5 linked regions of the Oryzias latipes genome follow. The protein of the gene in region 2 purifies or fractionates together with the protein of the main gene of each other region. This does not show direct contact. Links are inferred from orthologs where the notes say so. Each region holds a gene or a part of one and is shown on either strand. Other genes may lie near its edges.

What was found.
Region 1: the proteins of med21 (region 2) and polr2d purify together in Homo sapiens (affinity purification with mass spectrometry; 4 studies listed by BioGRID and IntAct, with this or other methods). This does not show direct contact. The link is inferred for Oryzias latipes from reciprocal best matches to the Homo sapiens genes MED21 and POLR2D.
Region 3: the proteins of med21 (region 2) and med9 purify together in Homo sapiens (co-immunoprecipitation; 8 studies listed by BioGRID and IntAct, counting the BioPlex papers as one, with this or other methods). This does not show direct contact. The link is inferred for Oryzias latipes from reciprocal best matches to the Homo sapiens genes MED21 and MED9.
Region 4: the proteins of med21 (region 2) and cdk8 purify together in Homo sapiens (affinity purification with mass spectrometry; 14 studies listed by BioGRID and IntAct, counting the BioPlex papers as one, with this or other methods). This does not show direct contact. The link is inferred for Oryzias latipes from reciprocal best matches to the Homo sapiens genes MED21 and CDK8.
Region 5: the proteins of med21 (region 2) and rpap2 purify together in Homo sapiens (affinity purification with mass spectrometry; 3 studies listed by BioGRID and IntAct, with this or other methods). This does not show direct contact. The link is inferred for Oryzias latipes from reciprocal best matches to the Homo sapiens genes MED21 and RPAP2.

Annotation. Positions count from the first base shown.
Region 1 is NC_019878.2:10,413,201-10,420,116, forward strand, and holds polr2d (DNA-directed RNA polymerase II subunit RPB4), read right to left. Parts: upstream 4,124-6,916; 5' UTR 3,988-4,123; coding exon 3,909-3,987; intron 3,376-3,908; coding exon 3,195-3,375; intron 3,124-3,194; coding exon 3,028-3,123; intron 2,115-3,027; coding exon 2,036-2,114; 3' UTR 1,531-2,035; downstream 1-1,530. UniProt on the Homo sapiens protein: Core component of RNA polymerase II (Pol II), a DNA-dependent RNA polymerase which synthesizes mRNA precursors and many functional non-coding RNAs using the four ribonucleoside triphosphates as substrates.
Region 2 is NC_019881.2:3,902,598-3,908,091, forward strand, and holds the end of med21 (mediator of RNA polymerase II transcription subunit 21), read right to left. Parts: intron 3,054-5,494; coding exon 2,953-3,053; intron 1,954-2,952; coding exon 1,774-1,953; 3' UTR 1,508-1,773; downstream 1-1,507. UniProt on the Homo sapiens protein: Component of the Mediator complex, a coactivator involved in the regulated transcription of nearly all RNA polymerase II-dependent genes.
Region 3 is NC_019866.2:10,873,750-10,879,181, reverse strand, and holds med9 (mediator of RNA polymerase II transcription subunit 9), read right to left. Parts: upstream 2,829-5,432; 5' UTR 2,777-2,828; coding exon 2,697-2,776; intron 2,502-2,696; coding exon 2,282-2,501; 3' UTR 2,077-2,281; downstream 1-2,076. Other genes in the region: rasd1 (dexamethasone-induced Ras-related protein 1), read left to right, coding at 279-549, 659-1,182.
Region 4 is NC_019878.2:17,540,569-17,547,619, reverse strand, and holds the start of cdk8 (cyclin-dependent kinase 8), read left to right. Parts: upstream 1-2,578; 5' UTR 2,579-2,972; coding exon 2,973-3,100; intron 3,101-4,200; coding exon 4,201-4,276; intron 4,277-5,485; coding exon 5,486-5,596; intron 5,597-6,117; coding exon 6,118-6,258; intron 6,259-6,699; coding exon 6,700-6,757; intron 6,758-6,840; coding exon 6,841-6,972; intron 6,973-7,051. Other genes in the region: E3 ubiquitin-protein ligase RNF6, read right to left, coding at 424-565.
Region 5 is NC_019875.2:5,933,444-5,940,364, forward strand, and holds the start of rpap2 (putative RNA polymerase II subunit B1 CTD phosphatase RPAP2), read left to right. Parts: upstream 1-2,786; 5' UTR 2,787-3,497; coding exon 3,498-3,546; intron 3,547-3,650; coding exon 3,651-3,699; intron 3,700-3,780; coding exon 3,781-3,883; intron 3,884-4,322; coding exon 4,323-4,421; intron 4,422-4,504; coding exon 4,505-4,570; intron 4,571-4,657; coding exon 4,658-4,746; intron 4,747-4,823; coding exon 4,824-4,859; intron 4,860-4,932; coding exon 4,933-5,776; intron 5,777-5,875; coding exon 5,876-5,967; intron 5,968-6,161; coding exon 6,162-6,242; intron 6,243-6,921. Other genes in the region: glmn (glomulin), read right to left, coding at 1,877-1,915.

The sequences.
Region 1 (6,916 bases), on a different chromosome or scaffold from region 2:
GACATTGTTCTGGGTTACCTTAATGTCAAAGTAGACGAAGATTGTATCTTCATTACACAATTGTTTTTATTATTGGCAAAATTTCATATCCATAAAGCCAAATGGTCAAACTCCAAACCTAAATTCCAGCAGTTTTTGAGTGAAATCAATCAGTATTGTACCATTGTCAAACATCTGCAAAACCAAAAAGCAATTCGAACTAATTTAATTTTTGAAAAATTTTAAATTTATTAAACCCCAAAGATTTTTGAAGTAATTATTCTTTTTGTCTTATGTTGTATATGTATGTTTATATATTTATATACTTTTTGTTTTATTTCTTATATTTTCTGTAATATGTACACATTGCAATTTCCCCTGAAACATTCACAATGTTATTGTATTGTGTTGTTTGTCAATAAAGTATAAAAAAAAATGTACGAGAGAGACGTTCCTGTTCCGTGCTCAGTCAATGGTTAATAAATATGCCCAGAGGAGGCTAAAGTTAAAAAAAGAAAACTAAAATTAAACGTTCATATTAAGGTGGGGGCCGCAAAATATCATCTTGGGGGCCGCAAATAGCCCGCAGGCCGCGAGTTTGAGACACCTGGTCTAGAGGCTCTAATAAGTAACTTCCTCCGACCCTAGATTTTTTTGGAGATGTTCTTTATACAGAAATGTTGGTGCGTAAACAAGATGTCAGGATGGCCGAGCGGTCTAAGGCGCTGCGTTCAGGTCGCAGTCTCCTCTGGAGGCGTGGGTTCGAATCCCACTTCTGACAAATGTCTTTTTAGGCATCACGCTTGTGCATCGCGATCTTTTAGAAGTCAGTAGTCAGTAAACATCAAAAATCTCTCCTTCATCGATGAGCCAAACATTACCAAAATAAGACTTTAGTGAACACTGTGAAAACAGCATTAGCTCGACAGCTGGCAAATAGGACATAACTTAAACGTTGGAATTTTATTTTGTAATGTAAATATAAATAATTAAAAACGCATTTTTGAAATTACTTCTTCAAACAAGAGGAAACAATGTTGTAGTTAGTCTTACCCAATGCTGGCCGTTTTTTTATTTCAAATTTAACTTTATTGTTCCAATGGTAAAGCTTCAGTTACTGATGGCATTCAAGTCTTATTCCTCTGAAAATGTTGGTTCGAACCCCACTTAGATGAGTCATGGACCGTAGTGAGTGTTCAGAAGAACAGTTTAAAATGTACCCCCCAATTCTCTCCCTGCTGTGTCCCTGGGGCCAATGCTAATACTGATGCTATATCACGTCTTTACATTTTTTAATTTATATTGTGTATATAACTTTTTTTTTTTAATGGACAGCAATCCATCTAGGAATCCTTGGTGGAGAAGGGAATGACAGCACCTGTGATTCATTTGCTGCATCTTTTCCTGTTTCACCACCTACCTACCCTTTAGCTGTAATAAAGATTGGAAGATTTGATGAGATCCCTCCCTGCCTCTGTCCCTATGGTCCACCGGCTCTCCTTCTCACTTTGTGATTCTTTTTGTTAAAAGAGCTTTACAAACTTTGCTTGGTTGTTCCTTGGTGTAGTTTTTTTAAATTTTTATTTTCAATCAACACAATAAATCCAGTTCCCTGTTCCGCTCCTAATAAGCGGTTTGGACAGACAACCACACAAAAGCACTAAAAGGGGTTCTCCTGGGACAAGAAGGTTCTGTTGGGAATCAATTTTGCGTGGACTCTGACTCGAAGGTGGTCTTGCAGGTCTGAGCTGGCAGTACGAGTGGGCGGTGTTCGGGATAAGCTCACTGATGATGGATTTGAGTTTCTGCCCATAGGTACCCGAAGGAGCAGAGCACAGATACAGTTTTCTTATCAACATGTGCTGGATTTTCCACAGACCGGATAGAATCAGACACACAAACAGCATCTTGTGTGCCTTTAAAGTACATCAAGATTCTGCTGGGTGGTGGGTGGATTAAATGTTCTGTGATTTTTCTGGTCCCGGTGGAACGTGAACCACGCTGCCTCTGTTAAGGAGAGTTCTGGAGGTCTCAGGTCCAGCTGCTGGTCCTGGTCTTAGTACTGGAAGCTCCTCTTGGTCTGAATGTCATCCAGGATCTGTTGCAGCTCTTCATCCTCAAAGCGACCCTCCAGACTGAGAAAAGAAGCAGAACCCGGCAGAACTTTATTCTCTCAACGATGAATTATTTGATAAGAATTGTAACAACATCACCTGCAAAACGATCCATATCTCAGTAAGATACAGTGGTGGACAAAATTGTTGACAGACTGACTGATTATGAGTTTGAAGACAGCTATGATGTCAATTTAAGGACATACCTGAGTTCATCATGACCCCCTGGGCAATTAGTTCTCAGTCTGTTATGGAGGTACCATCATTTTTGGCCAACCCTATTTCATTAGCTTTTTTTTTTTTTTAAATAATTCTGTCAATCAACAAATTAAAAAGCTGATTTTGATTATTTCATTTTCATTAAATTTTAATTTATTGTTACTTTTGAACATTTCAAGTCATTTTAGTGAGAATTCTGGAATTTGTTTCTATAACTGATGGGTACCAACAATTTTGTCCACCACTGTATATTTTCACAAAAATAATGATCACTAAACAATCTAAAATAACTTATCTGCTATTTTTTAATGCATAATAATTTCAACAAGAAACCAATTCCTGACAAGTAAGAACAGCATAAAACTACATGTCTGTGATGAATTGATCCAAAATGTTTTCTGATCCAGTTTAGGATAATCTCTCAGGTTTTCTCTTTGAATTAATTCAATTAAAGCTGCACACGTCTGCCCTTAATGTAAAATAGTGTTACTTCGACATTACTAAATAAATCTCCTTGGCATCCAGACTAACTTATACTTTTACTCAATTTACTGAAAGTGTTAAAATAAAATAAAAAGTCAAGCCTCCCAAAAATCCTAAAATCACTAAGGTGTTCAGAATAATCTGATGTCAGGTGAATCTTTTCACAGATTGGTTAACGAAGACCCTGTAATTTATGGGTGAAAAGAACAAGTCCGGTTCAGTCCAGACTCACCTGGGGGTCAGAGCTTTAGCCTCCTCTGCAGCTTCAGGACACAGATTCGCCAAACTGGCCAGCTCAAATTTATGGAGCTTCTTCTGCAGGAGGAGACTGAGACAGACAGAAAGGCCATTAGGACCCAGATCAGGGCCAGGACCTGGGACCAGAAGGGGCATCCTTACCTGCGCACGGCAGTGATGGTCTCGCGGTTCTTGAAGCGGCTGAAGCGGGCCGTGTAGTTGAGAGTCTTCATGAAGACCTCGGACAACTCCTGTTCGTCCTCGGCGCTCTCGTTCTGCTGCTTCCTGTGCTCCAGCAGCATGTGGACCTCCGAGTTCAGCAGCGTCTCAGAGTTCTCAAACTCTGCAGACAGCAGGAGGGGGCTGGTTAGTCACTGAATTTGAGCTCAGATTCTACAGAATATCAGCTCCAGAACCATTTTGATTGAAAGACAGAAGGATTCCTGCAGTGATTGTGGACTGGAATTTAAGGCCTGTTTCAAGAAGTAGGACAAAAATCCTGCTGATCAAAGTCAGCCTGTACTATTTTAGGAAGCTTGTTGAGTCTCAGACCTTCCAGGACAGCAATCCATGTAAATTTAAACTTATAGTTTACTCTCAGCAAACAAACAAATAATTCTATCTTGATCAGTGGACCAAACATCATGATGATCACAATACATGTGTGTCAGTGAGAGAAACATTTAACCAGTACAGATGATGATGGTCGTATAATGAAAATATTCAGATTCAAATCGGTGATGCAGCTTACATAAATTAATAATCAGGGGATGATTATCCTCATCGGTCACATATAGCAACGTAATTGTTTCCAATACAGGTTACACTGTAACCTAACAAAAAGTTTCGGAAGTAAACAGTATTTGTGCGCGCCACCTTTGGGAAACAGCAACTGTGACGCGTCTTCTTCGACGTCTCCCACGTGCGAGGAAACCGAGCTTCCAGCGGCAGTCATGTCGAGTCACAGTCACGGGTCGCAGAGGCGCGCAGTACCGATGAGCTCCGTCAGCTTCTCTCGGAGACTACGGTGAGAACGTTAACTGTGCAGAGAACAACGGCGCTCGGGGAACTTCCGGTCACAACACCGATCTACTTCCGGTGATATTCTTCCTCTGCTTTCTTCTGGTTTAGGCGGGTGTCATCTAGCAATAATGGTGCGCTTCTGCTACCTACTGTCCTGGAAGATGAAGTGTAGGAACTCCCCTCAAACACAACGATAGAACTGTTCAGTCATATATGCCCTTGTAATAAATAATTTATTTCCTTGTAAATAAATGTTAAAGTTAAAGATTTAAAGAAAACAATTGTATTTTTGTGTTGAAATTGCTTGTTGATTGCATGTACTTTGAATCTTTTTGGGGATGAGTTTCATTTGTGGTGTTCAAATTCCTCTGTTCAAGTCTCATTAAAAAAGAACAACATTCTTTTTGGTGTAATTTCACATAACAGTCTGTTAAATTTAGTTTAAAATATTTTAACAATCAAAAGCAAATTTTATATTCATAAAAGTAAATTATTAAAAACCAAACCACTGTTTAATGTGTTTCTTAAGTAGATTTGTTTAATTCATGAAAAGTAAAAAAGCAAGAAAATGTTTCAACTTTTTTAAAGGCATTAAATTATATCAAAACTCTTCATATTTAGGTGTTTTTTAGTTGACTCTGTCTTTGTTTTGCTTTCTTGTGTCTTTATTTGATGATCTATCTCATTTTTTGTTCTAAATGTTCTAACTGTTTTACATTTATGTTTACAGGTTCCTAACTTAACATTTGTAGTGTTCAATAATAAAAGACCATGTGAGCTCGCCATAGCATAGACCTGCTGAGATTTTTGGTCCCTGATATTCATTTTAACTTTATTCATCTTTTCCCCTCTCTTTTGAATTTCTTACTGATATGTTTGTCAGTGTTATTTATATCATATAAAATTTGTATTTTTTTTAACCATGTGACCTTTAAAATACAAACCTTTATTTTATAACTAAAAATGTTCTTTATCCGCATTATTAGTTTTCAACAGTTTCAATTGCTTCTTGTATTTCCATGTAGGTACATTATCTTGCTGTGACTGGTCTTTATTCCTCTCTAGATGCTTCTCTACCTGCTCCTTGCAGGTCATAAGGTCATATGCAGACTTTATTTAGTCTTACTTTATTTATTTATTTATTTAGTCTTACTTTAGTCTTTATACTCCACCTGAAGTTGCCACACGTTTTTTTTCACAGCTACACTGGTAGCAAACACTTCTGAAACTCTGTAAACTTGAGAATGAATCTGTAGCAACTATTATTTTCTCACCTTTTGTAATCTCCTGCAACTCCACCAGGTGGCGTGGTGATTCAAATTTCAGAACGGTAGGGTTGGAATGTGTGTGAGGTTTTTACATTTTGTGTGTCCATTGTTTTTTCCAAGACCTTCAGGTTCCTGAAGGGGTTCAAAGCATGTTTTATTGGTAAATTAGGTACTCTACTCTAAAATTGTCCCTTAAGAAGTTTGAATAGACTTCTGATGGTCTAGTAAAGTGCTTAGAGTTATGTTGTTTATGCCCTGAAGTAACTGGAATGGACTCCATGCCCCCGTAGTCCTGCTCAGGACTATGGGGGCATGGAAGATATGTCTTTGTAAATTCCAGACACAGTTGTTCTTCAGTGGGCCCTTTGGAAAAATGTTGCATTTAATTCACTTGTGTTTCATTCTTTATGTTATTACTCTAACAAAGCTCGTTTGTAAAATGCTAAATTATTTGTACAAAACTTCAATAAGTTTTAATAACGTCATTGTTCCTCAGCAACAAATATTGAAAGAACATTGAAAGACCTTGAAAAGTTGCAATTTAATTGCATCCTCAGTGAATAACTCAAAGGATGTTTCGGGTATTTCTTCTTCCCGGCCCCTTACTCAGTCGACCCAACCAGTGGTGATCAGTCCCCATTTTCTATCTAAGCAGCATGTTATGTCATGGCTCCTCTTCATGAGCCACTTTGAAGCTTTTTTAGCTTCTCCTCTTATGTTTCTGGTGGACCCTCTCTGCAGCCACCCATGATGTCAAGAAGCCTGTAAGCCTTTTATACAGATTACCCTAAAACAGGAGTCTGCAACCAAAAGAGCCATTTGAGCCTGTTCATTACTTATCAAAATCTACTCAAAGCCACAAAGTCCTATTTTAACCTGTAGGAAAATTTGATAGTGCTTTGCATTTATTCATTTTTGTTATAGATGTGAATTTACATTTATTTTCCTGGCATGAAGAGCAACTAATGTTTTCTCACAATGTCAAATTGCTTTTTGCTTTTGACAGAAGGTAGGCAGTATGACTTCCTTTTAAAATAAAAGGCTTCCTTAAAACGAAAGGTTTTAAACAAGGCGAGACAAAAACAGCTTTTTCTTTTGTTATTTCCCATATGTCTACTTTGGGGAGCCATCATCTTTTTTCTACTTACTACTGTTCTTGACCTGAACATAAACATGAATTCATTGTTTTCTTGATCCAGTAGAAAAAGTATATAAAGCAAAGATTAGACTTTTTACCAAAATTTGCTCAGTATTTGAAATTTGTGTATTCAGGAGGACGCACAGAGCGAACAAGGCCTCTTCATGTCAGCAGGAATGTGGAAATCTCCACATACTTTATCTTAATTCTAGGTGCACCTCAGCCATAAAAGTATAAACTAATTCAAAGTAAACCAAAGCTAGTGCAATAAAGGCCCACCGACGACTCTGACGAAGACGGAAGAACTCCGGCGAAACATGTCAGGCAGGTGGAAAAAACACAACCGCGTCTAATAAATAAACCAATGCTAATTAAGTAACCCTTTTTTATTCTATTTTCTTTTCCATCTGCCAGAGAGCGACAACGGGGGCAAAAGAGCTACATGTGGTTTAGCA
Region 2 (5,494 bases):
TCCCAAGAGCGTTAGACTCACTGTGAAGCATGGGGGTGTAAACATCATGGTTTGGGGCTGTTTTCCTGCAAAGGACACAGAACGACTGATCCACAGAAGGAAAGGATGAATGGATTCATGAATGGAGAGATTTTGGGCAAAAACCTCCTTCCTTCCACAACGTTGAGCCTACGTGCTCCACTGTAACAATGATCCCAAACACGTCACCATGGCAACCAAGGAGCGTCTCCATATAAAGCATCTCAAGGTTGTGTAGTGTTCCATTTGATCAGTTCCATTAAGCTCAGAATCGGGTTGATTTACATGATTACTTTGAGCTCGGAGGGTTCAGGTTGTTTTTTCGCCGTACGTTTTATTTTGAAAGTCTTGTGGTAACATGGTTACAGGACAATCCTGATTATGTGCTTCTGCGATGACAGAATGCTAAGAAGGGAACAAAGTCGGAATTAATTTCCTGATTTTTCTTTTCTTTTTCTTTTCCGGGAAGCTCTGACTTCTTTTTGTTCAACAAGACAGCGGGGATGTGACTGACCTTATCTGTAGAGTTGTAAAAGTTAATAAGAGATCCAATCAACAGATCAAATAATCTAGTCTTTTCTGAATTCTTGAAATTGTAGATCAAAGCAGAAAGCACAGCACCTGTAAATGTAGAAGATTCCTTTATAGCACTGAGGCCCCCGGGGGCCTCAGTGCTATAAAGGAATCTTCTACATTTACAGGCTGATCTTCTGATGGACCCCTCCTCCCAGTCCTGAGGCTCCTTATCCTCCAGGACTTCCAGAGTTCGCTCAACCGATGGCGCCTCGTCTCTCATAAGGACATGAAGGGCAGCTGCCTCGTCCTGACCACAAACTGAACCCCCAGGCCACAGCTGAAGCGGCCCACCTGCAGAGACACGCACCGGGCCCAAACCCGTTTCATGATGGGCTGTGATATAAGGAGACGGAGGCGTGTGTGGTTAAAATGAAGAAGTGCTGCCACTCAGATCAAAACGGTGTTTTTAACATCTTCGTGAGGCTTTTTTCTCATGATGGAGAACGTGCATTTAGAAAATTAGTGTTTCTTTATAAAACTCGTGACGTAGAAAAGAAGCTGGGCGGGGCCACAAGCTCCCAGCTCCGCTCCATTCTGATGGACTCAGTTGAACGGATCCATGAACGACCTTGTTTTCCTCGTCTGAGCTGGAATCTGGGTCTAAGCTGCACGGCTGGACAGCTACGATGTTGCTCGCCGCTAATCGTCACCGCTAATGCTAGGTTGTAGGCTAGCGGGGGAGAGTGTAAACAGGTGGGTGACGGGAAGAGGGGGGGTTGCTCCACTCCAACAGTCCATCCAACGGCTCAAAGGTGAATTTCTAATGAACTCCTGCCACTCTGGAGAAACTATGTCCTTGAAAACGAGACAGTTTTTTCATTTTATTTTGGCTAAAACAGCATTATCATAATTAAAAGACCACTAGGAACACTTTGAAGTAGATCAAAAGATTAGTGGGACTTTAAACACCAGATTAACCAAATTAAATGAGTTTTTTTATTAAAGACTTTACCCTCGTGACAAACCACAAATAAAAAAACAACACACACTGTTATAAATATACAAAAGAAAACTGACAAAACATACAAAAGCAGGGGTTTGCAAGTTGAAATGTAGGTCTGACAGCAAAGCGAGACTTTGAGGGTTTCATTCCGTATCCTGTCACTCCTATTTTCACCCCTGTTTTCCATCGTTCCTTCCCAGTCCTCCATGCAGGGAAAACCCTTCAATCCGACCCAGTCAGGACTCGGCCGGCGACGGCTGGCCATTCGCTCCGCTGCGAGTGCGCAGCTGAGACTGGGCGATGTCTGCCAGCGCGTGCTGGATCCTCTTCAACAGCATGTCGCCGCGGAAAACCACCTCCTCCAGACGAGCGGCCGCCTCGTGGTTCTCCTCCTCCAGCTGCCGCAGACTGGCTGCCTGGCGACGGGTCACATGGTCCATTCAGAAAAACACATATTTACAACAGACTTCATGCTGATCCAGTGTTACCCTTGTGCTATCTTGTGGGGTCCAGATGACCCCGCCCTTACATTGACTCTGCGCCAGATTGACTCAATTGAGTGTTTTAAAGCTCAAGTTAAGACAATTTTATTCAGGAGAGCTTTTAGCTGACTTTTACTTGTGTTCACTTCTGCCTGTTTGTTTACTTCTATGCCTGTGTGTGTTTTATTGGGTATTGCTACTGATTTTATATTGTTTTAACATTGTGAAGCACTTTGTGAGTCGCTCTCTGTGAAAAGTGCTATATAAATAAAGAGTTATTTTACTTTACTTACATTGGCGTGTTCTCCCTACCATGACAAAGGTGGATAAAGGTGGAAAGATTTCATGTAATCCATGGACACCAGTGAAGATCACAAATCATTGAAGAAAAAAGGTTCAGCGCACTGTCTAGTGGGTCTAGATGACCCAACTCCCAATGTTAACGTGCCTAACATTGGGAGTTGGGTCATCTAGACCCCAAAAGACAGCACAAGGGGATGTGTGCTCTGTCATCAGACCATAGAAAAACTATTAAACAAAGACTTCTCCTTATAGATGTGTCAACATGTCTGAAGAAATGTTTTTATGTACTTTAATACCTAAAAAGAAGGAAAAGCGTATAAGAGAGCATGCCAAGTCTAGTCTAAGAACAGAATTCTCAGTAAAAACTTGTCCCAGTGAGTCGATATTTTATAGTAGCAATCTTGAGTCTATGCAGCTGTATCATTTACCATGAGAATGACTTTGATCAGTCTAATTGATAGGAGCCGGTTGATTTCATCTACTGACAGCAGGAACCTTTCCAGATTTTGCTCTGGCTCCCTCTGCTGTCTGGAAGCTGTAAACGCTCCAAACTTTTCCCCCTGACTTGCTGCTGGTGGTTCCTGGAGTTTGTGGCTCAGTGAGGAAGTGTGGGTGCGTGACCATGCTGACCTGCAGAGCCGCCGTGGACTCCTCGCTGGGCAGAGAGTCGATGAGAACGTCCACATCTTTGGCGGTTCTGGCTATGAGAGCCGCAAACAGCTGAGCGTATTCTAAAAATAAAAAAAGAGGAAGAAAAGTCACTGTAGAGAAGGTAATGTTACGTTATTTCTGGTATTTTAACGCTTCAGCTTTCACTGAATAGAGGATTCCTCTCACACACTTAAGAAATTTGTGCAGTTTTATTTATGAAAGTCAGATTTTCTTTTTTTTCTTAAAGTCTGGACAGTTACTCAGTAACAAAGTATGTATCTCATTAGTCACCATTTATGTTTCGTCAAATTTGTATCATTTATTTTTAAATATGGACAGTCGTATTAGAAAATCATCAGTATATGGTAATAATTCCATAAATTACGACACTTATCTGAACAGTTACTTATTTGTTTACTCCTACATTGAGTGAAGTCTTTGGATTACTACTTTTAGACATTCCATAGTATTATTAGGAAACAATAACTTCTCTTACAGTCTTTTGCAAAAGTATTCCCTCCCTTGGATGTTTGTCCCTTTAGTCGCTTTCATAAACCCCCCTTGGTCTATAAAATGTGTCTTTCCTCACACCAAATTCTCTATGGGATCTAGGTCTGGGCTTTGACTCGCCCACTCCAGAACATTTCCCCGGTTCTTTTGAAACCATTCCTGTGTAGCTTCTGCCGTTTGCTACCTGGAGAACAAATCTCCTCCCAAGCCGTAGTTCTCTTGCAGACCGATAAAGATTGTCCTCAAAGATTTCAGTGTATTTTGCAGCATTTGTTCTGCCCTCCATCTTTACACGCCTTCTGCTGAGAAACATCCCCACAGCATGATGCTGCCACCACCATGCTTCACAGTGGGGAAGGTGTATTTTGGATGGGTTGCGTCGTGTCTGATGGCCAAAAAGCTCAATTTTTGGTCTCATCAGACCAAAGTATCTTCTTCCACCTGGTCATGGAGTCTTCCACATGCCTTTTGGTGAACTTTGTGGCTTTCTTGTTGCCCGTCTCCCATAAAGCGTTGGTCGGTAAAGAACCCTAAATGCACCGTCTCAGCATCCTGAGCAGCAGCTTGTAACTCCTTCAAATTAGTCGTAGGGTCTTGGTGGGTGGGGTCTCGGTGGCGTCTGTCACAAGGCTCCTCCTTGTACGGTCACTCAGTTTATGAGGGCGGCCTGATCTAGGGAGAGTCCCACATGTGCCACATACCTTCCATTTCTGGATGGATTTCACTAAACTCCAGGGATGTTCAATGCCTTGGAAATGTTTTTGTATCCACCCCCTGACTTTTACCTTTCAACAACCCTTTCTCTGAGCTGCTTGGAGTGTTTCTCTGTCTTCACGGGGAAATGGTAGCCAGGAATACCGCTCCACCAGTACCTGGACCCTCCATAGGCTGGTTTGGGACACAACCACACCACTCGGGTGATCTTCATTTCACTAATTGTGAGACTATTGGGACTAATTGGATGGACTTCAACTGAATTAGACCATTACATTTAAAAGGGGGGTGAATAATTATGCAAACAATTATATTTCATTAGATATTACTTTGTAGAAATCTGTTTGAAGGTTCTTTTCTAGCAAATGTTTGTGTGAGGAAAGACAAATGTTATTGACCACGAGTGATTTATGAAAGCAACTAAAGGGACAAGCATTCAAGGGGGTGAATACTGTTGCAAGGCCCTGTGTGTAACGACAGCCTTCATGCTCAAATGTTTGAGCAAAAAACGTAAATTAAGTGAGTCTTTCTGGACCCTAACCCACACCAACAACACGCCGCTCTACCTCGCCTGTTTCTGAACAGAAAGGTGTCACTATTCTGCGCAGTCTCTAGAAAGCATCGCTACTTTACACATTTTGAACGTTTGGCAGAGCATGGGACACTTTAGTGACCTTCTCACTTAACACTATAGTAGACCTTATTGTCATATATGTACTGAAATGTCTTTTTCATATGGAGCATATGTGTCAAACTCAAGGCCCGCGGGCCAAATGTGGCCCTCCAAGTTTAATAGTTGGCCCCCCGAAAGCATGAAAGCTTTTAAATTCTTAAAATAAAAATGTATTTTAGTTGATTACATATCATTTATGTGTAGCTGCAGTTGTAATTATTCAGTGTTTGCAGGTCTTTTGTGTGTATGCAGACAAATTGTTGTCATCAAACCAACAGTTGGGTGCAAGGCTGTGTGCAGCCTTTTTTGGTAAAATGTTACACTATATTAAATGCTCTTTCTAGCTCCGTTTTATGTTATTTTTCTTTATTCACTTGGACAGTTTGATCCTTCATTAATGGAGTTATGTGGGTTTTAATAAGCTGACAAAATTTAAACGGATTTATGCTAGAGTTACAAGCAAACATATGTTTTCTATGCAACTGTAATTGTCACTTTAAAAAGTTATAATAAATAAATAATGACTTATTTAGAATTAAGGAGTAGTTACATTTATTTTTCATTACATTTAGTTACATGTATAAGTTACATCTGGCCCTTTGAGGACAGCCACTATGCTGATAT
Region 3 (5,432 bases), on a different chromosome or scaffold from region 2:
TGTGTCTTGCTGTCTCAGTCTTGTCATGAGGCACGGATTGATCTGACGCACAAAAGCAGCCCTGGTAACATTGTGATTCCAGCTTCTGGATCTTGCTCCCCAAGCTGCAGGGTGACGCATGACGCACGGAGGCGCGGCAAAAAATCCCCCTATAAATTCTCTGCTCGCACCACTTCAGCTTCAGAGACAGAGCCTGGGTCAGACTCCTCACTATAACTCTAGGATTGAGACCGTCCGAGCAAGAGCAGTGCGAGACCGGGTGCAGGTTTGCTGCAAGTATGATTAAGAAGATGTCACCGTCGGAGAATGACTTCGACATTCCAGCCAAGAATTGTCACAGGATGGTGATCCTGGGCTCCACTAAAGTTGGGAAGACAGCCATCATCTCTCGGTTTCTGAATGAGAGATTTGATGACCAATACACACCCACCATTGAAGATTTCCACCGGAAATTTTACAGCATTAGAGGGGACGTTTACCAGTTGGACATCCTGGACACATCTGGAAACCACCCCTTCCCTGCAATGAGGAGGCTTTCAATTCTCACTGGTGAGTTCAGCTTGAAACTTGCACATTATGCTTCTAGGATAGAGGAAATATTTCCCGGCAACACTGGTTTTGTTCAGCTCTAAAACGCACGTTTCCTCTGTTCTTCCAGGTGATGTTTTCATCTTAGTGTTCAGCCTGGACAACAGAGATTCCTTTCAAGAGGTGCAGCGCCTGAAGCGCCAAATCCACGAGACCAAGTCATGCCTGCGAAACAAAACTAAGGAGAACGTGGACGTCCCGCTGGTCATCTGCGGCAACAAGTGCGACAGAGACTTTTACCGGGAGGTGCAGGACGAGGAGATTGAGCAGCTGGTTGGTGGAGATGAACAGTGCGCATACTTTGAAATCTCAGCGAAGAAGAACACCAACGTCGACCAGATGTTTCAGACTCTCTTTACCATGGCCAAGCTGCCAAACGAAATGAGTCCTGATCGGCACTGCAAAGTTTCCCTGCAGTACTGCGACGTTCTCCACAGAAAGTCTTTCAGAAGCAAGAAGTGCAAAGATGGGAACGCATATGGGATTGTGGCACCGTTCGCACGAAGACCAAGCGTGCACAGTGACTTGATGTACATAAAGGAGAAAGCCATCGGCGGCGGCCACGCCAAAGAAAAGGGCTGCGTAATTTGCTGACCATTTCTACGAGCGCAAAAAACTTTGTCCCCATGTGACTATGCGCAGCGCGTCTGCGACAAACTTTAGGCACTCTTGTCCAATATGAGCCAAGACATGTAGTGAAATCGATGCTCTGAAAATGCTGTAAATCTGTTTCTACATTTTGCTTTCTATGCGCAGCACTAGAAGGTGAAAACCAAGTTTACATGTTGCCTTTTTTTCAAACTTGAATGTTTGCTGCAGAATGAACAAATGAACTCCATGTGTATATTTATTATGTCCTTGTCCACTTTTGCATAAAGAGAAAATAAAAAATAAAAAACTTGATACTTTCATAGTCTGTTCTCAGTCCCACTCTCCAATTTCTCGCATAAAACAAACACTTTAAGAATTATATATACGTTTTCATTCTGCTGTTCGAATGAAAATACATGTTTATAACACATCATTTATTGAGACATTCTGAAATTAAATGGACTTATATATAAAAAGAGCTAACAGCCTGAATAATTATTCATTAGGACTCCATTGTTTGCACAAATGATAACCATGGCACAATAACAGAGAAGGAAAACAATTAGACTAGGAGGCAGTGCAGCACATATAATTAGAGGCTATTTAGTAGATATCAACAGATGTAATATTTGGCCCATTAGAGACAATATCATTTATGATTAAAATCAAACTTTGTTTAGAGAAAAATGCTGATTCACATTAAATTAGATTTACTTTGCATGTTGTGAAAAGGAACTACATAAAGTTATGTGAAAGTGTGTGCCGTGGCAAATGCTTTCCTTTATTTAAAAACCTTTTAGATTCAGACTAAATGGTCTGCTCAATAAAGCATCAAAGCCCTTATACATTTATTATTAATAATAATAATAATAATAATAATAATGAAAACAAGTAAAACACTATAGCACGATTTAATTTATTAAAAATAGAGATTTACAACTTGAAATAATAACAGATACTTCAGAAACAGAGCAGATCATTCACACTGATGCAAACAAAAAAGAAAAACAAAAGTCCCATTTTTCATTTCAGGTTTTTTTTTAAATGGTAAACCGTAGAAATAAACGTCTTTGCTCAAGTCTCCAGTTTGTAGTCTGTTGTCTCACGACGCCTTAGGCACATCAAACATGCACAGTCCCTTGTACTTCTGCAGCAGCTGGTTCTTGGTGCGGACCTGCTCCCGCAGCGTGGCCAGCTGCTGCTGCTGCTCCGGCGGACTGCAGTCTATCCCAGACATGTTAGAGATCTGCTCCCGGGTTTCTTGGATCTTTGTTTTTAGTTTTGTCAGCTCCTGGTTGACATCCGGGCTGTCCTTATCCATGCTAAGCAGAAACATAAATAAATAAATAAATACATAAATAACAGACTTCTATTAAAGGCAAAACTGCACCCATGATGGGAAGCGTTCACGTCACTTCTCATATAGCAAACCGTAAATACCCCCAACGAGAGTTTACCGTGAACCATTTAGTAAATACCAACATATACGTAAACCCAGCACACAGGAAACAGCTTACCATTTGATAATGTCGTGAACTAAGGGCAGCAAAGAGCAGTCTTCGGTCTCCTTCACGAGCTTAGCCTGAGCTACCGCCATTGCTACTCCTTCTGCAACTGGCGCAGGCTGATGACGTCACAGGTTACTCCGAGAATCTCAACTGAAATCACAACTTTAAAAAAGTTCAATTGATGTTGAACAACAACAACAACAACAATGATTATAGATGAATGAGTGAATGATTGATTGAATGAATAAATGAATGAATGAATGAATGAATGAATACTCTAGTTATCAAAAGTATGAAAAAAATGATTACCTTGAGATGGTAAGTCATATAAGTCATGGTATGATTCCCAAACTATTAAAAAGTCTTGACACAAAACAAGAAATAACAAAGAAAAATTTGCTGTAATAAATTTCAAACACAAGAAAAAAGATCTAAAAGATTTGGGACTGATTTCTTTCTGATAAAGCCCTTGCAATTCTCGTGGCATGTCATCATTTTGCTCAGAATAGGTCCCAGACCTATTCCAAGGTTGCTCGGGCATCAAGTCCGGGTGCCTCCTGTACGCCTCTCTGGGGAGGTGTTGCGGGCATGTCCCACTATGCGGAGGCCCCGGGGAAGACCCAGGACACGCTGGAGAAACTACGTCTCTCGGCTGGCCTGGGAACACCTTGGGGTCCCTCCCAGAAGAGCTGGAGGAAGTAGCAGGGGCGAGGGAAGTCTGGGCATCTTTGCTTAGACTGCCCCCGTGACCCAGTCCCGGTAAAGCAGAGTAAGATGGATGGATGGATGGATGGAGGTCACAGACCATTTGTCAATGCACATAATAAACACATGACCTAGGACTTGGAATGACCTTGGCTACACGTCTTGCTACTTGGTAACCTGAAGTACTGACATCGAAAGTCAACACAAGACATGCTTGAGAACTGAAAAATGGGGAGCTGTGTAAACACTAGAGCTCATAGCAAGCACAAATATAGTCTCACGGTGCGTCACGCAATTTGTCTGTTTGGAAGATAAATGAAGTGTTTCATTCAGGTCGTGCATCTCTGTCTGGAAACCCTTTTTCCTTTTCTGTTTACACAGTGCGTCCTTGTTGATTGGGGATACAATATTTAGTATGTAGAAAATAAAACAAAATAATGAAAAGCTTACTTCCTGGTTATTTTCTAAAGCCCTGTTTGGCAATACATTAGGCAACACGGAGAATTAAAATGGCTAATTTGCTCAATTCTTTGTTAGTACAAGTGACTACACGATTATGCATGTGTAGCAATGACGATTCTCCTGTTTGATGTTGAATTATGTGTTTTATTTTTAAATGTATTCTTTTTAGCCCAAATAACTCATGTTTACATCCATTTCACATGAAATCAAGTTTGACCTCTTGATGCAGCGAACATCCCATGAGTTCATTACTCACACCTGGTGAACACAGAAAGGGAAAAACTCAGTCTCCCCTGGAGAAGATAGAATGCCAACGTGACACAGGCAGTGAGCATTAAATTAAGTGTGAGGCTTTTACCCAGAGGTGTGACAAAGAATGGATATCTAAATGAGTGGCGCCACTGACTGTAAAAGTAAGGATTTCCATTTCGACTTGATTGGGAGGTTTTGCACAAACTAAACAGAATATATTAGTAACCTCAAATTGACGTTTTCAGAGCATTTTACAATGTAAACTATCACAGTGTAAACTATCAAATCTTGGATCATTTTGACGGATCTGGTCATTGCATCACACATATCAAACCAATTTGAAAAGAGAATATCGCTGTTTTTATATGCTGATGAGCTGAACCTCACTTTTGAGGCAGCGAAGGAGCTTGCATAATTATTTTTAGATTTAGTAATAATTTAAATCCAGTTTTGAACATTAGCCAGGATTTGCAGAAATCACTTTTAGAGCGACATACAGTAAATGCCGTTGCAGTAGCTGGGATTGTCTCCCTTGCAGTCAAATATGACTTTTAAAACTAAAATTGCAGCAAGGATTTAAATAAAAAAAATAGTTTTTTTTCTTCAAAATCCTGTTGAAATGTTTTGTTTTTGTTTAATTAGTTGCAGATATATTGAAATAGGTGTGTTTTTCTTCTTTTTACATTGCAAAATATGTGAAAAGTTGAATACATTTGGCAACATATAAAAGGATAGTTTCACTTTACACTTTTTTAGATTTTCCTTAATTTAAAAAAATAAAATATAACCTAATAATGAAAACACATCAGATTTTGAGGGATAATTCTTTGTTGAATTGTGGATCATTTTACAATTTTTATTAATAAAAACAACGCTTTGACCATTGCTGGTTCAAAATTTAGCCCACAGAATTTCCCTTTTATGGACAAAGATGAACTACTTGCCTTTTCCTGGAAAACTTCTTCCATAAACTCAGTAGAAAATGCAACGACTGCCAAGAGAGTTCTAGTGCGACTCTTTGGCTGGGTCATATCCGAACACTTCCTTTTGAACTTCTCCATAACACCCCCCAAATGGTTAGGTTTACCCCGCCCGCTCTCTGCAATGACGTAAAGAAGACAGCTGACAGTTTCCAACAGATGGGTCACATCCTAGCATCCTTGGTGGAAAGCTGGTGGGATGCAGATGCCCTGTCTGCTGATCTGTTGGCTAATCATAGCACACTTATATCGGTCTGACACTATTTTTTTCCAAACAAGCTGGCTGTATTTCCAAACATTAGGCTTGAAAAAAAGATACCACTTTAACTTAATCTTGCAAAACTAA
Region 4 (7,051 bases), on a different chromosome or scaffold from region 2:
ATACTCACAATTAGGACTGGACCAAATGCCATAATAACTCAATCTTGTCTTAAAAGCACATGTGGTTTTGAGAATTTATGAAAAACATAAAAGTCGCAAATCCAACAAAGTTAAGCCATTTAACTGTAAAATTGTATCCGTACTAAAATATCTGCATCTCAGTCATAAAACAAATTCAGTTTATTTGCAAACATTTCCATTAAACATTGTAATTCAAAGAAAATTTACCAATGACTTTTGAGCATAAAAAGCTTTTTAAAAGCAGGTGTTAAAAAGAATGTGTTGCTAAAAATAAGTGGAAAAAATTAAATAAAGAGTTTAATTAAATCTATGTCACACTGTCATAAAAATTACATTGAAAGATCACAGCATGCAACTCAACTGACAACCCAGAGTCCATGTAATGTGTATGCCAATCCTCACCAGGGGTGCCCAGCAGGTTACCATCTCTCATGAGGCGGTACTCGTCTTCACTCAATTCATTTATGAAGTGATAATATGCTTCCTCCCGTCGAAGACGCTCTGCCTGCCTCTGCCGTTCATCTCCCCCACTGGGAGGGTCCATAACAAAGAAGAGTGCTGGAAGGCCCATGTGGAAGGGTGTCAGAGAAATGGACACGGTGAAGCAACATTTCACTTCAGTTCACAAAAATGTGGAACATTTATTCTAATGAAGTTAGACATGCTTCCAATCAGACAACATTAGTTCGTGACCATCAGTCTATATTCTTCTGTTTTATTCTTGTCTAAACAAATTTTAATTATACTTTATAATTTTACTGTTTTGTGGCCATACTATCCTAACTGTGATTCTTGTCAATGCTTTTCTAAAAGGTCTTTTTTGTGCATAAAATAAACTTGCCTCTCTAATACTTGTTATAATTTCTACTTAATTTACAAGAGTATTCAAGGTTCAACACTAATAGCAAAATCATTTGTGTATAGGACTAAGCAATATGGACAGCACAGTAGTATTAACATTTGTGGAAAAAAGGTATAGTCATATATGTTCTGCTGTAAAGGCCCAGCTATAATTTGCATAAATCACTGATCAAATGCCTGTGAGCGAGTATACATAAATAATAACCATGAATAGTATCCCCAAAAGGCCATGTCCAAATCATGTTGTTCAGCTGACTCTTAACCAATCACCGCCCCTGTTTGGTTTTAGTGGCAGGTCAAGTAACCAATCACCGTGCGACAGAGGCGGAAAATGAAACCTATTAAACGGAGATCTACTCCATGTAAACGCAGGACAAGGAAGGAAACACAAAGTCGTGAACAGCACTAAACAATAAAACGATTAAGATATTATACTGGGAATACACGTACGACAACACTTTAACGAGGCTGTTTGTTCTATATTTACTTCAAGACGCTACAATGTTGATTTAAACAAGCAACGCGTCAACTGCTAACTAGCATGCTAGTGATATAACGTCAGCTAGTAGTAGCAGCACTGAAGTCGACAGCCGTTTAGCTGAGAGGCAAAACCTCATAACGCACCACATATGCTGTTACAACAAGTTCGCCGGATATTGCACATATGATCTATCTTTATAGATAAATGGAAACCACATTAGGAAGTAGTGTCAGTAACATTTGCTTTAGAGAAGTACCTGACAAAGCAGCTGTAATGGAAGGTTCTCTCCGCTTTCCCCTTTCTCTCCGACCAAGATGGGACCAGCGGTGCTACATGACTCTGCTCGCCGGAAACAAAATTCCTTAACCCTTAGTTCCTACAAACACAGCTTTTTGTTTATTTCTTTGTTTGTTTGTAATCTTTTTTTAAGTTCCTTGTGATATTATTGACTGGTAAATTTGCTTCTAACATTGATTAAAAGATTAAACATGTTTTTTTTTCTTTTAGTCTACTGTATGCACCAACTGACATCCTTCGTCAGCAGCAAACTAAATGCTGTCTTTTTATTTTTATTTTTAGAATTAATATGCAAAATACAACAAAAATTGAGATTAAATAGAACAATTATGTTGAAAAAAACGGGGATGGCGTATGCATTACAAAACATACATTATAATATAGTAAAAATATTATATATATATATTATATAATTATATATTATATATAAAAATATATTAAAAGACAGACAACTTTCAAATATATTTTTTTTTGTTGTTGCTACTGTTAGAAATTGTACTCCAGTCAATCAAAAAATGTGTATGCATACAGGGAGACATTAGATTAACGAGGATAATTCTAGGTATTGTATTCTTTTTTTTGCTTGTTTGTTTAAATAGAAAATTGTGACTTCTCATGGCATTTCGGTGTGTATGTAAATAGCCTTATTTATGTACCATTTCACGTTTTTTCTCTTATAGAGGTTTTATGTATTTAAATACTTGTTTTCTTTTATGTTTGTTTTTAGGATTTATCAATAATTACTTTTAAAGATTACTATTTGTTGAACTGTAAAAACTAAACACTGGCAAGTGACTGCATAATAAAAGAAAGAATATCTGAAAAACCTTCCTCGGCTTTATTTGTTTGTTGTTCACCCACGTACTGATTTATTTATTTATTTATTTAAGTGCGAATATCCACGTGGTTGTGTATCTCTGCCATTCTCCTTTCTCTGCTGCAGGGGCTGTCTTTACGACACTTTGCGACAATGGCTGGCACGATTACGCCGTGGCTACAGACTGAATTGCGTCTCTTTGGAGAAGATACCGGCTGAGAGAAACGCAGAAACAACAGAAAGGAAATTGTAAAATCGGGCCTTTTTCAGCACGGATAATTGCCAATCTCCGCGCTTACCCATCGGAAGGTTATTTTCGAGCCCAAACCTCGATGTGGAAGCTGAGCTGAAGAAAGAAAGGGACCCGCTGGGAAGGCAACTAGCTGAAATAACCAAAAACCGAGCTCGTTGAGTCAAGGAGCCTAGTTGCCTCCCTAGCGACGCTTTAAAAAGAAAGGAAGAAACGCAGACATTCAGCCTCTGAAGTGGTGAAAAATGGACTATGACTTTAAACTGAAGCTGACCGGTGAACGAGAGCGCGTCGAGGACCTGTTTGAGTACGAAGGATGCAAAGTGGGAAGAGGCACCTACGGTCATGTGTACAAGGCGAAGAGAAAAGATGGGTGAGTTGATGACCAACAAGGCCTCCAGCCGCTGAACCCTGCGCCAGCCCCCTCCCGCTCCATTTAAACCACTTTAGTTTGCCCCCTTTCGCGGTGGAGGAAGCGTGCTGCAGACAAAAACAGCAATAGCAGAGTGTTAAAAAGCCCACACTAGGATGCTGAGGAAGCTTTGTGTAGCAGCACTACTAGCTTAAATGAGGAGTGACATTTTCTCTCATGGATGGGAGGCTAATTTAGCAGGAATATATTTGCAACCATTGCATGCAGCTTTGTGGTTGGTTCTGTGTGAGCATCATTAAATTGTATTAGTTAAGGTTAGATCTAATTAAATTGATATTGTACTTATTGTGGTTCTCAGGTCTTGTTTATCATAATCCACACACATTTAATTATGAATTTGATTATGATTTTCCAGTGGAAATAAAGGTTTATTGGCAGTATAGATGTGTCTGAGATCAGTTTTTTAAACTAATATTTAGACAGGAAATTAAGCTTCAATAATAATTATTTTTTAGGGGACATATTTTTTCTAGTAGTGACACTGGGATTTGTTATTTATGTTGTTAATGTTAAAGCAACACTTGAGCTTTTAAAGTGCAACTTTCCGATGTGGTCCCTAGCTTTATCTGGCCCTAACCTGGGTTAAAGCAGCAACTTCCTGGCCCACACAAGGCGCATTACCCTAAAGGAGAAAATCTGGACAGCAGAACCATAGAAAGAAGCTTTGAGATGTTTGTGTTACTGTTGTTTATGAGACACCGTGGGCTGCAGAATCTTTCCAACTACAAAGTGTGGATTTATAAGATAATTTAGGCCAAGAGGAGGAACGATATTCAAGAGTGAGCCAGTCCCAGAGCTCTGTTTGTCCCTCCCAGCTGCCAGAAACCGCCTGTTTCCTCTCCCCCTTTATTGTTTAGAGCCTCAGAGGTGAGCTTGATTACACAAATCTGGAGGTAATGCAGCTCAGCCTCTTCACCAGCTCCCCACACCAGCTGCCAAGTGCCCCCCTCCCGTCCTTTATTTTTGTTTTCTGTGCATAGAGCTTTCTGGGGGCCTGCTGTCTGGCCTGGTGTTGATGTGCTGGATTTTTCTGTTTTTAGGAAGGATGATAAAGACTACGCCCTCAAGCAGATAGAAGGCACTGGCATCTCCATGTCAGCCTGCAGAGAGATTGCAGTAAGGGCTTTTTCCCACTGGTTAATACATTTATGCCATTCTTTTCATTTAGAATATTTTTGTTTTAACCACTCATTAAATGAAACCAAAATTGGTTTATTGCATTTATTCATTTGTAAAATAAGTTCATAATCATCCTAAACTTTAAATAAGACAAATTAAGATATTTCATTGAAAGGACATTTGTGTTTATTGGATTAAAATGTTTCAAAATGCACTACAATATGTCCTTAGTGTGACATCTGACCATATTAGCAGCTTTCTGTCCCTTGAATCCTTTTACGTCTAAACTTAAAGGGATAGAACACCAAAATGTTTTTTTTTCTTGTGATTTAAATAAAGATTAGCTGTTTTCAACAAGGACAAAGAAAATGAAGCAGGCTTTGCATAAAATGCTTGTTTAGCTCGCTCCACCCCATCTCAAAAAGCCATTTGTGACTTTTAACATTACATTTAGCAGCTAGTTACCCATCATTCTTCCTGTACATGCTGGATACTGGTGGAATAGTCAGACATGAAAAAGGAAATTATTAATTTAAGTTGAACAAAACCCCTTAAAGATCATTTACTCGCTGCTTACCAGCACTGAAAATCATATTTGTGTTCAAAAATCGAAAGTCTGGGTTGGCATTCTCTCACTTTGGTTGTTGCCAGATTATTTATTTATCGTCTTTGCAGGTCAGAGGCTTGTTCAAGTACCGAAAGAACTGTTCTAGAAGCACCAAGCTCAGGGAATGTTTGGCAACTACATTTTTTTTCTGAGGCCATAGTAATTGCTGAAGATCACCTCAAACATGCAATACTTTCTGCCTGGTAGTTTTATTGTCTAAAATTGCAACCAGAGAGTGCTGGGATTAACAAACGCACAGCTCCTGCCTGCAGTTTATCACAGCCATGCTGACTCTGACTTTACTCCATAAACAGGCTCCCATCTGTCAAATCTATCAGAATATTTCTTGGTCGTCAGGTAAACAAAAGCTGGAAGGTGTTTGGAATATTTTATGTATGTTTGTGGCGCGTTCAAAATGTTTTGAACTTACAGGCTAACTCAAACACTTTATAGGCATTCATTAATTGTAAGGTTTATCTGCTTTTGGTAGATCGTGCAGGTAATACCTGATTTTCGTTTTATTTTCGGAAATGTTTCTGGTCTGTGTGTTTTTGTCGTTCCTGATTTATGCCATGGAGCTGAAGGGTTTTATGTTGCAGCTGCTGCGGGAGCTGAAGCACCCCAATGTCATCTCCCTGCAGAAGGTTTTCCTGTCACACGCGGACCGTAAAGTATGGCTGCTCTTTGACTATGCGGAGCATGATCTCTGGGTAAAATGGAAACACACACTGGAACTGCACTACTCATCAATCACACTACTGCTGTGCGAGGGGAGAGCCAATACGATGTTTTTCTACTTTAACTTTTTTCACAAGTAACAAATCCCCACCTATGCTCAACGATATGTTACATAAATTACACTGCACGTCAGTACTTTGAAGATTTTTCTCTACACGCGGGAATGCGCCCCTTTGATGCTTCACACTTCAGAAAGAAAAAAACAACAACACTCCAGTCTGTTGGTGTCATGAGAAGAATTACTTTGCTTTTTGGTAGTTAAACCCTTTTCCATTTAAGTAAGCAGTTACGACTGGCAGAGAATGTAAGTGAAATACCTTTTACTGCCGCAGAGCTGCAACACTTGCATTCCCCCTCCACAGAAGTGGAAACACATGCTTAAACCATATTGCCTGTAGAACACACATGTCAGTGTGTGGATCTGTAGAAAAGAGTCCATTTTGGTAAATGTGCTCATTCATGGTACAGCTGCTGTTTTCTTGTCTTCCCGTAGCACATTATAAAGTTTCACAGAGCATCCAAGGCCAACAAGAAGCCGCTTCAGCTTCCCAGAGGAATGGTGAAGTCTCTGCTCTACCAGATTCTGGATGGCATCCATTACCTCCATGCCAACTGGGTCCTACACAGAGACCTTGTAAGAGGATTGGGGTTTAGGAGGGTGAAGGTTTTTTAGCTAAAATAGAAAGAAAAAAACCAAAGTAAAGAAAAAAAAATGGATTAAATGTAAAAACAGCGTGGGTTTAGTGCAAATTACCACTTATCCTTTAAAATGCTAAATAGTGCTGACCTTCTTTAACTGATATAGGCTTCTTTTCATATAATATTTCTCCTTTTGTTTTTCTCAGAAAATATAGCACCTGAGCTTAATTTACAAAAAAAGCTAATACAGCTTATGAAGTTTTGATTTTGTCCACTAGAGGGCAGCAACAAATAGTTTTTGTTTAATGCATTTACTTTTACAGTGAAAGTCAAGTTCACAAATTGGACTAAACAACAACAAAAAAGAGACAGTTGCTGTTGCTTATCTTGTTCAAATTTTACTGTAACTTATTGTTTTTTTTATTGCCCTATTTAGAAACCTGCTAATATTTTAGTGATGGGAGAAGGGCCTGAGAGGGGCAGAGTAAAGATCGGTATGCATCACTGGACATTTACAAATTGCCTACAATGGTTAAGACTTCCTTTTAATTTTACTCAAAACATGCCTGTTGTGCAGCCGATATGGGGTTTGCTCGTCTTTTCAATTCACCGCTGAAGCCTTTAGCCGACCTGGACCCCGTGGTAGTCACTTTCTGGTACAGAGCACCTGAACTGCTGCTGGGAGCCCGGCACTACACCAAAGCCATCGGTGAGATAGTCTTCTCTAAAGCTTTGTGACCGTTTTAGGCGAAACCATGAATCATGGATCCATTTGTTCCCTTTTTTCT
Region 5 (6,921 bases), on a different chromosome or scaffold from region 2:
TGTCTGCGCGTGTCTCATTACATTGAAGACTCAGAGGATGTTTAGAGATCAGATTTATTTATTTTAAAAAGCTCTACAAAAGCATCATACTCGTTAGCAGTCACTTTACATCCGAAGGCTAGTAGGCTACATGTATCCCATCATGCATCACTGTTAAGAATAATGAGAAACAGAATAGTTAGAAACTCCCTTTTACTTTTTATTACACTAACTTTTACTTTTATTACACTAATGGTTTAAACTTGATTCATTATGTATTATCATCTCAAAATTATATTACATTTGAAGACAGCACAGCCAAGCTATTTTTCTCACAGTTTCTTCTCATACTCCCTTTTTCTGTGTGTGTGTGTGATGCCTCAGAGATAACTCCATTGCAACCTTGGAGCTTCTTTCCAGCAGCAACCTGTGGGCGTGATTTTCACACCATTGTCCAGTGTATGATCTTCTGAATATGCAAATACAGGGTTTATATACCAAGCCCATCTCTGAGCTCCGTTGTTCAGACTTTGGATGCACCATGTTCATCTGTCTGTCCCTTTCGTGTTTGTACGAAGTAAAACTTCCACAAAAGATAAGTAACTGTCTCTGAGTCATTATTCATTCATTTCTGTGTGCAGGAAATTGAAGGGTACGAACCTAATTTAACTATTTTACAGTCCTGTTTACAATTTCCAGTTTCCTCACATTTGGTCCTTTGAGCACGATTGGTTACGTAGCACGTAGCCTACTAGCCTTCAGATTTAAAGCGACTGCTAAAGTGTGTTAATAACAGACCAGTCCTGCATGTTATTATTTCTATTCGACCCTAAACTACAATATCCCATACAGCAGCTGGCTGGCCGGTAGATGGCCAGTCAGCTGCCCGAATGCCGCCATGACAAGCAGAAGAGCTCTGCTGCGGATTTAGGAGCTATGTCTGGTAGGTGAAGCAGGAAGCTTTGGCATCCAAAATCTTATGATATTTTTCTGATTTTCATCGAGACAATAATAGATGGATCATTCTTGTTTTTTTTCCCCTCTTAAACGAATGTAGGTCACAGAGACACAGAAGTAGCAGCAGAAAGCGGCTTTTGCAGCTGGATGGACGGAGAGTGTACCACCAGGATGTGAATGAACGTGATTACCAATGCTTTTGTGCTTTTCAAAATAAACAAAACTGATCTCTAAACATCCTCCGTGTCCTCAATGCGATGTAAGACACACACAGACAGAAATGTGAAGGTATCTGCTGTCAATCCAACTATTGTTCACATCCGTGTTTATGAAGCTAAGTCCGGTAGGCGAAGCAGGAACCCGTGTTTATGAATGACTTATGACGTAAATAATTCTTTCGTTCGCACAAATTAATTAATTCGTGCGAACAGAATATTATTTTGTGGGAACAATATATTAACTTGTGGGAACGAGATACATTTTATTTGATTCATGTCAGGACACGGACTCCGTATCATGTAAAACATGAATGCTGCTGATGTTGTCTTACAGTTGCATAACATCCAGCAGGTTTCTTCTGTGTGTCTCACAGAAAGAGGCTGAACAAAAATCTAAAAATGTGTCCAAAAAGTTCCAGTGTTATGACGGATCTGGACTTGACTCTTGGAGATGAGATTCCTTCACTCCAAACGTGTCCTCAAATGATGAAAGGTACAGAACACAAGAATATGGCCCATGTGAGACGATCGATCCGAATTCTCAGGAACTCTTTCCTAAACGGTCACACAGGTTTGCTCATATTAAATCTGCAGCTGCTCCTTTCCTCCAGAAGATGCTGACACAGAAAGGACACAGGCTTTAACTTTGAACCTTCTGTCCTGGCTGCTCATGGGATATTTCAAGAAAACAAAACCATAAAATAAAGAAAGTGGACACTCACACACAGCTGGACCACATTGCTGAATCGCTCCAGAGCCATCAGTCCCGTTTGGACAGAGTCTGTCCTTCCTGGAAGTCCTTCAAAAACAACAGTTCAGATCAGAGTGTCCTGATGATGATGATGATGATGATGATGTTTTTCTATGTCTGTACTGATGACTTACTGTCACCATCTGTGCTGGAAGCAAAGTAGAAACCATGGAGATCATACAGAGAAGTGTGTCTAGATCAGGGGAGGGCAAACCTTTTGACCGGGGGGGCCACAAAGAGGTCAACGATGTGACAGCGAGAACCAGGAGCAGATGGGAGGAGTCATTTCATCATCCAAGAAATAACAAGGAATTTGGATGAAAACATGCTTGAACTTTGAAAAAGGAATATGCATATTTGAAAACAGAACGTTTGAGTTTTTTTTTTTGTTTTTTTTTATTTTGGTGCCATTTCCACATATGATGTCCCTCAGCGAAAAAACACAAACTCAGAGAAACGCTGCGTTCATGTGGTGCTGGAATGTTCGGAAAAATGCCTTCCTGACTTGGAAAATGCACAAATCCTCCAGCACCACACCAATGCAGAATAACTTTCCACACCTAAAAGTGCAGAATCTATAGGGAGACACCAGAACTACAGGGAAATGAAAACAATCCTGAGGGTTATCAATATCACTTATTCCAGTTTGGAGGGTCAGATTTAATAGTTCAGTAGTTTGCTGACTCCTGGTCTAGACTGTAGGCTCCATAGATCATCGATGTTGCAGGTCTTTCAGTTATGAAGTTCTAGTTTTATACCAGCAGTAAACATTCATCTACTTCCATTACATTAAGAATGTACCAATTCTGCTGACCAAACTGTGCTTTCTCTGATTTGACTGTTTAAAGTTTAAAACGTTTGAATCATTCTGCAGTTCAAAATTTTAACATTTACAAAGAACACGTTTTTTGTGAGATATTACTTATTCAGACAAGAAGAGAGAGATTCGCTTCGTGAAACTGTAGTCTAGAGGTGTCATGTTACAACATAAACCTACAAACATGTCACGTCTGTTAAGGAAATTAAACAAACGTTTGCCTTTGAAGGACGTAACGACGTGAGCAAAACCATGAAGTTCCTCTGCAGAGTGCAGCCTGCACACAGAAACAGCCTGAAAACGTCCATCCTCTATAAACTCAATTACCCAAAACTCTGTGCGGTGGGACATCAGGGTTTAACTAATGAGGAGGGCTGTTGGATTGGCATTCCTACAAAGAATAGCTCCTCCAATGAGAGAGAGAAGACAGCCAGCTGAGAGAACAGAACGGCGACCATGACTGCAGCTGATGTTTGAGTTCAGAACCGGCGCGGCACCGCCTCGGTCCACACACTACAGAACCGGGGCGGCACCGCCTCGGCCCTCACAGAAGCAGGCCGGCATTGGTTAGCTCGTTCTCGGACTGCTGTCTCGGGTTTTCGTGAACAAACGTTCGCATTAAACTCCTCTTGGAAGCAGAAAACGAACAGACGCGCGGAAAGTGAGAACCTACCTTCTCTCCTGCTGTTGCACGCGACCTGAACGCTGCGTGTTTGAACCACCCCGGCTGCCGTAGAAAAACTGCGTCACAGGTCAAAGTTGAACTGGAAGTGTCATGGCGACGGAGGGGAAGATGAAGAATCCCGGGAAAACGTCCAGAAAAGGTTTGGTTTGAGTAGTTTGGACGGACGTGTTTGGTATTTTATTAGCAGATGAACTGAACTGGGCTCCGTCTATGTCCTGGTGAAATCTCGTGTTTGTGTGACAGCAGGGAGACGCAGCAAAACTCTGACCGCCGAAGAAGAAGCCAGAAGAAGGTTTGGAAGGCTTTCTTCTCAGGTTTATGATCCAGTGTAGGCAGCGCAGTTTGAATGAATCCGTCTCCTTCCCTGAGCCAGGAAGGATGCGCTGAGGGAGCAGCTGGAGCTGGAGAGGAGAGCCCTGGAGGTGGTGGAGCAGCTCCTGGAGAGCAGCGTGGCAGAAGACTTCCTCCTGGAGTCGGTATGAACATCTCCATCTTTAGATAACACCTTCACTTTGATCTGGGTTGCGAGGGAAACCAGCTGAAAAGGCCACGCCCACAAACATTACCAGGTTTCCAGACCACAAACCATCAAACACTGCAAACTACAGCAGAAAGACACAAAACAACTTAAAGATGTAACAGACAGATAGTTGTTAAATTCAACTTAATCCTTTTAGGTTTTTTTTTTTGTATAATTCTTGAAAATTCTGTCTAATGATACATTTATTAAAGATCTTTATAAGGAAATAATTGTTTCAAGTAATTGATAAAATGCACAGAAAGAAAATGAATTTTGCACAAGCTAATGGGGAAAACTTTGAGGTAGAAATTTACAAGAAAACACTAATAAAGAGGTCAACCTGTTGTCAGTCAGGTTAAGAAGGGTTTTAACACACAGGCTCATTTTCTGTTCAGGCCAAGTTCATCACTCCAGCTAATTACAGAGATGCTGTGGAGGAGCGGTCCATCTTAAAGCTGTGTGGTTATCCAACATGTCCAAAGCAGCTGGGCAAAGTAAGACGTCGCCCCTCCACTGAGGGTAATGCTGACGCTCCTGTCTGGGTTTCCTCGTCTAACCGCTGCTGCCTGCTTTGCAGATCCCGTCTCAGCAGTTCAAAATCTCTACCAAGACGAACAGAGTTTATGACATCACAGAGCGCAAGGTGAGTTTCTTCCCAGAAGAAGAACGAACTTTGTCAGTGCAGTCGCAGTTTGAAGACAGAAGAGGTGACCTCATTTGTCATCTTTAGCGTTTCTGCAGTAATTTCTGCTACAAGGCCTCCAAAGAGTTTGAGCTGCAGATCCCAAAGACGCCTCTGTGGCTCAGGAAGTTGGAGAGGTCTGTGAACTGCTCCGCCTTTGTAAGACTCGACGTTCGGGTGGAGTGTCTTTGTAAAAATTCTCTCTTGCCAACAGTCCCCCGAAGATCAGGCTGCTGACGGCAGGACAGAGGTGTGTGCTCGGCGCCCGCGGCCGCACGTCCCTCTGCAGGAGTGAGCGTAACGTGTTGCATGTGTGTGTCCAGTGGGAGCTCCGGAGAGGAGGTGCTGCTGTCAGATCAGCGCCTCAAAGAGGAAGACGTTGAGAAACCACAAGCTGCCGCCCCCGCTGAGCCATGCGGGGATCATCAAAGCTCGGCTGGAGATGAGAGCAGCGGTGGGGAGCAGGACTTTGTCTCCAGTGTGGCCTTCCAGCAGCAGAAACCCCGGGTTCACTGGGCTGACCGCACGGGTGAAAGCAAGAACGGGAGCCAAGGAGAGGAGGGGACGGACGGGACTGAATGTCTGAGTCGCCTTCCACAGGAGGACACGAGGGGGCCGCATCCTGAACCCCCACAGCTGCTCGGTCCCATCACAAGCAAGGCTGAGCCACAGGACTCACCTGAGCGCCCCCAACTGGAAGAGGTAACAGCTCAGATGAGGGAGTGCACTCTTCATGAGACAGCAGCAGCCCCCCTGCCGGGCCTCCACATCACCCAGGTGGGCATGAGCAGGCGAGGAGCTGCAGGGCTGCGGGCTCTGCTGGGGAGGCAGAGCTGCACGGGAGCCAAACGGGAGCCAGCGAGCCTCCTGGAGACCCTGAGGAGGACTCTGAAAGCCTGGTGCACCGATCACACCATCAGGTTCCTGCACGGAGCCGCCTGCTCACCTGCCCCCCGTCATCATAACAGAAAGGAAGAGGGGGAGTTGGATGAAGATGATGATGCAGATGACGTGATATTGACGGACGATAGCGGGGAGAAGAAGCTGTGGGGGACAGAAGGAGACTATGAGACGCTGCAGAGGCTGACCCAACAGATGGAGCTGAGAGTCAAGGAGTTCTACAAGGGGACCTGGGTTATTCCTGTGGAGGAGCCGAGTGCTAACCAGGTGAGGGGGGGGGGTCCCTGTGGACCTCCCATCAGACCTCTGTTCAGTCAAATAAAATGCTGAGAGCAAGTTGAAATAGTCCTGGTTTGTTCTTCACAGCAGAACCTGAAGGAACCGGTCCTGCCGCTCGTGGACTCCCAGGCTCAGCATCTGATCCAGAAACGCATCACCGTGGAGAAGCTCAGCAGCTGGTGCGTGCAGATGTGTCAGACATGAACGTCTTCATCTAAACCTCTGCCTCCCCCAAACATCTTCTGTTTCACAGGAGTCCAGACTCCTGTGACGTTTGATCATATTATATTTATTATAGAAGTCCGGACATTTGTCCAGCCGCCTGCCTGCCTGCTGCTTTGCTCCATAACCAATCTGCTCCTGTCATCTGCAGCCTCAGGACCATCGTAGGCCCGCTGCACCTCACCCTGAGTGATGTCTCCACAGACCTGAACGACTTGGTGAAGACATTCAGGTGGGTGACCTGCACATATGCACCGTTCTCGTCCATTCCAGATCATCCTGCGCGCTGCAGCCTTCCATTCCTGCTCCCCATCATCATGAGACTTGAGGAGGCCCGAGTCCTGCATGAACGTCCCACAGAGCAGCACCGACCCTACTCATTATCCTCAAAGAATAAGAGAAAGCCCAGGAGAGCGTCGTGGTTTCCATGTGGTTGGCTCAGACATATCAGTTAGAGACCTCCAGGGGGGGCTGAAGAACCACAGGTTGACGGGAGCCCCCCAAACCTTTACACCAGGGGTGTCAAACATACGGCCCGCGGGCCATATTCGGCCCGCCAGGTGGTTTAGTCTGGCCCACATGATGAGCAAAAATCTTAAGCATGTTTAAAAAAGAAAGCACGTGTCTAGTCCATTCCTGTGGCGAGTTATGATTTTTTTAAAGAAATAACCGAAATGCGCAATTCTGCCATTAGGGGGGGGGAGGAAAAGCAAAACAGGTGAAACATATGTTTGCGCATGCCAAAGGTGAAACCTAACAGTTCTTCTTCTGGGTAAGATGCAGTTTGTTTCCCTGCGAGCCTCAAAGCTGTTGTGTTGCTATAAGAATGAACAGTAGTGACACAATAATGACCAAAATGTTGTCCAAAAGAAGTGGATTGCTGAGCTTTCCAGGAAAAATGGACAGTTTTC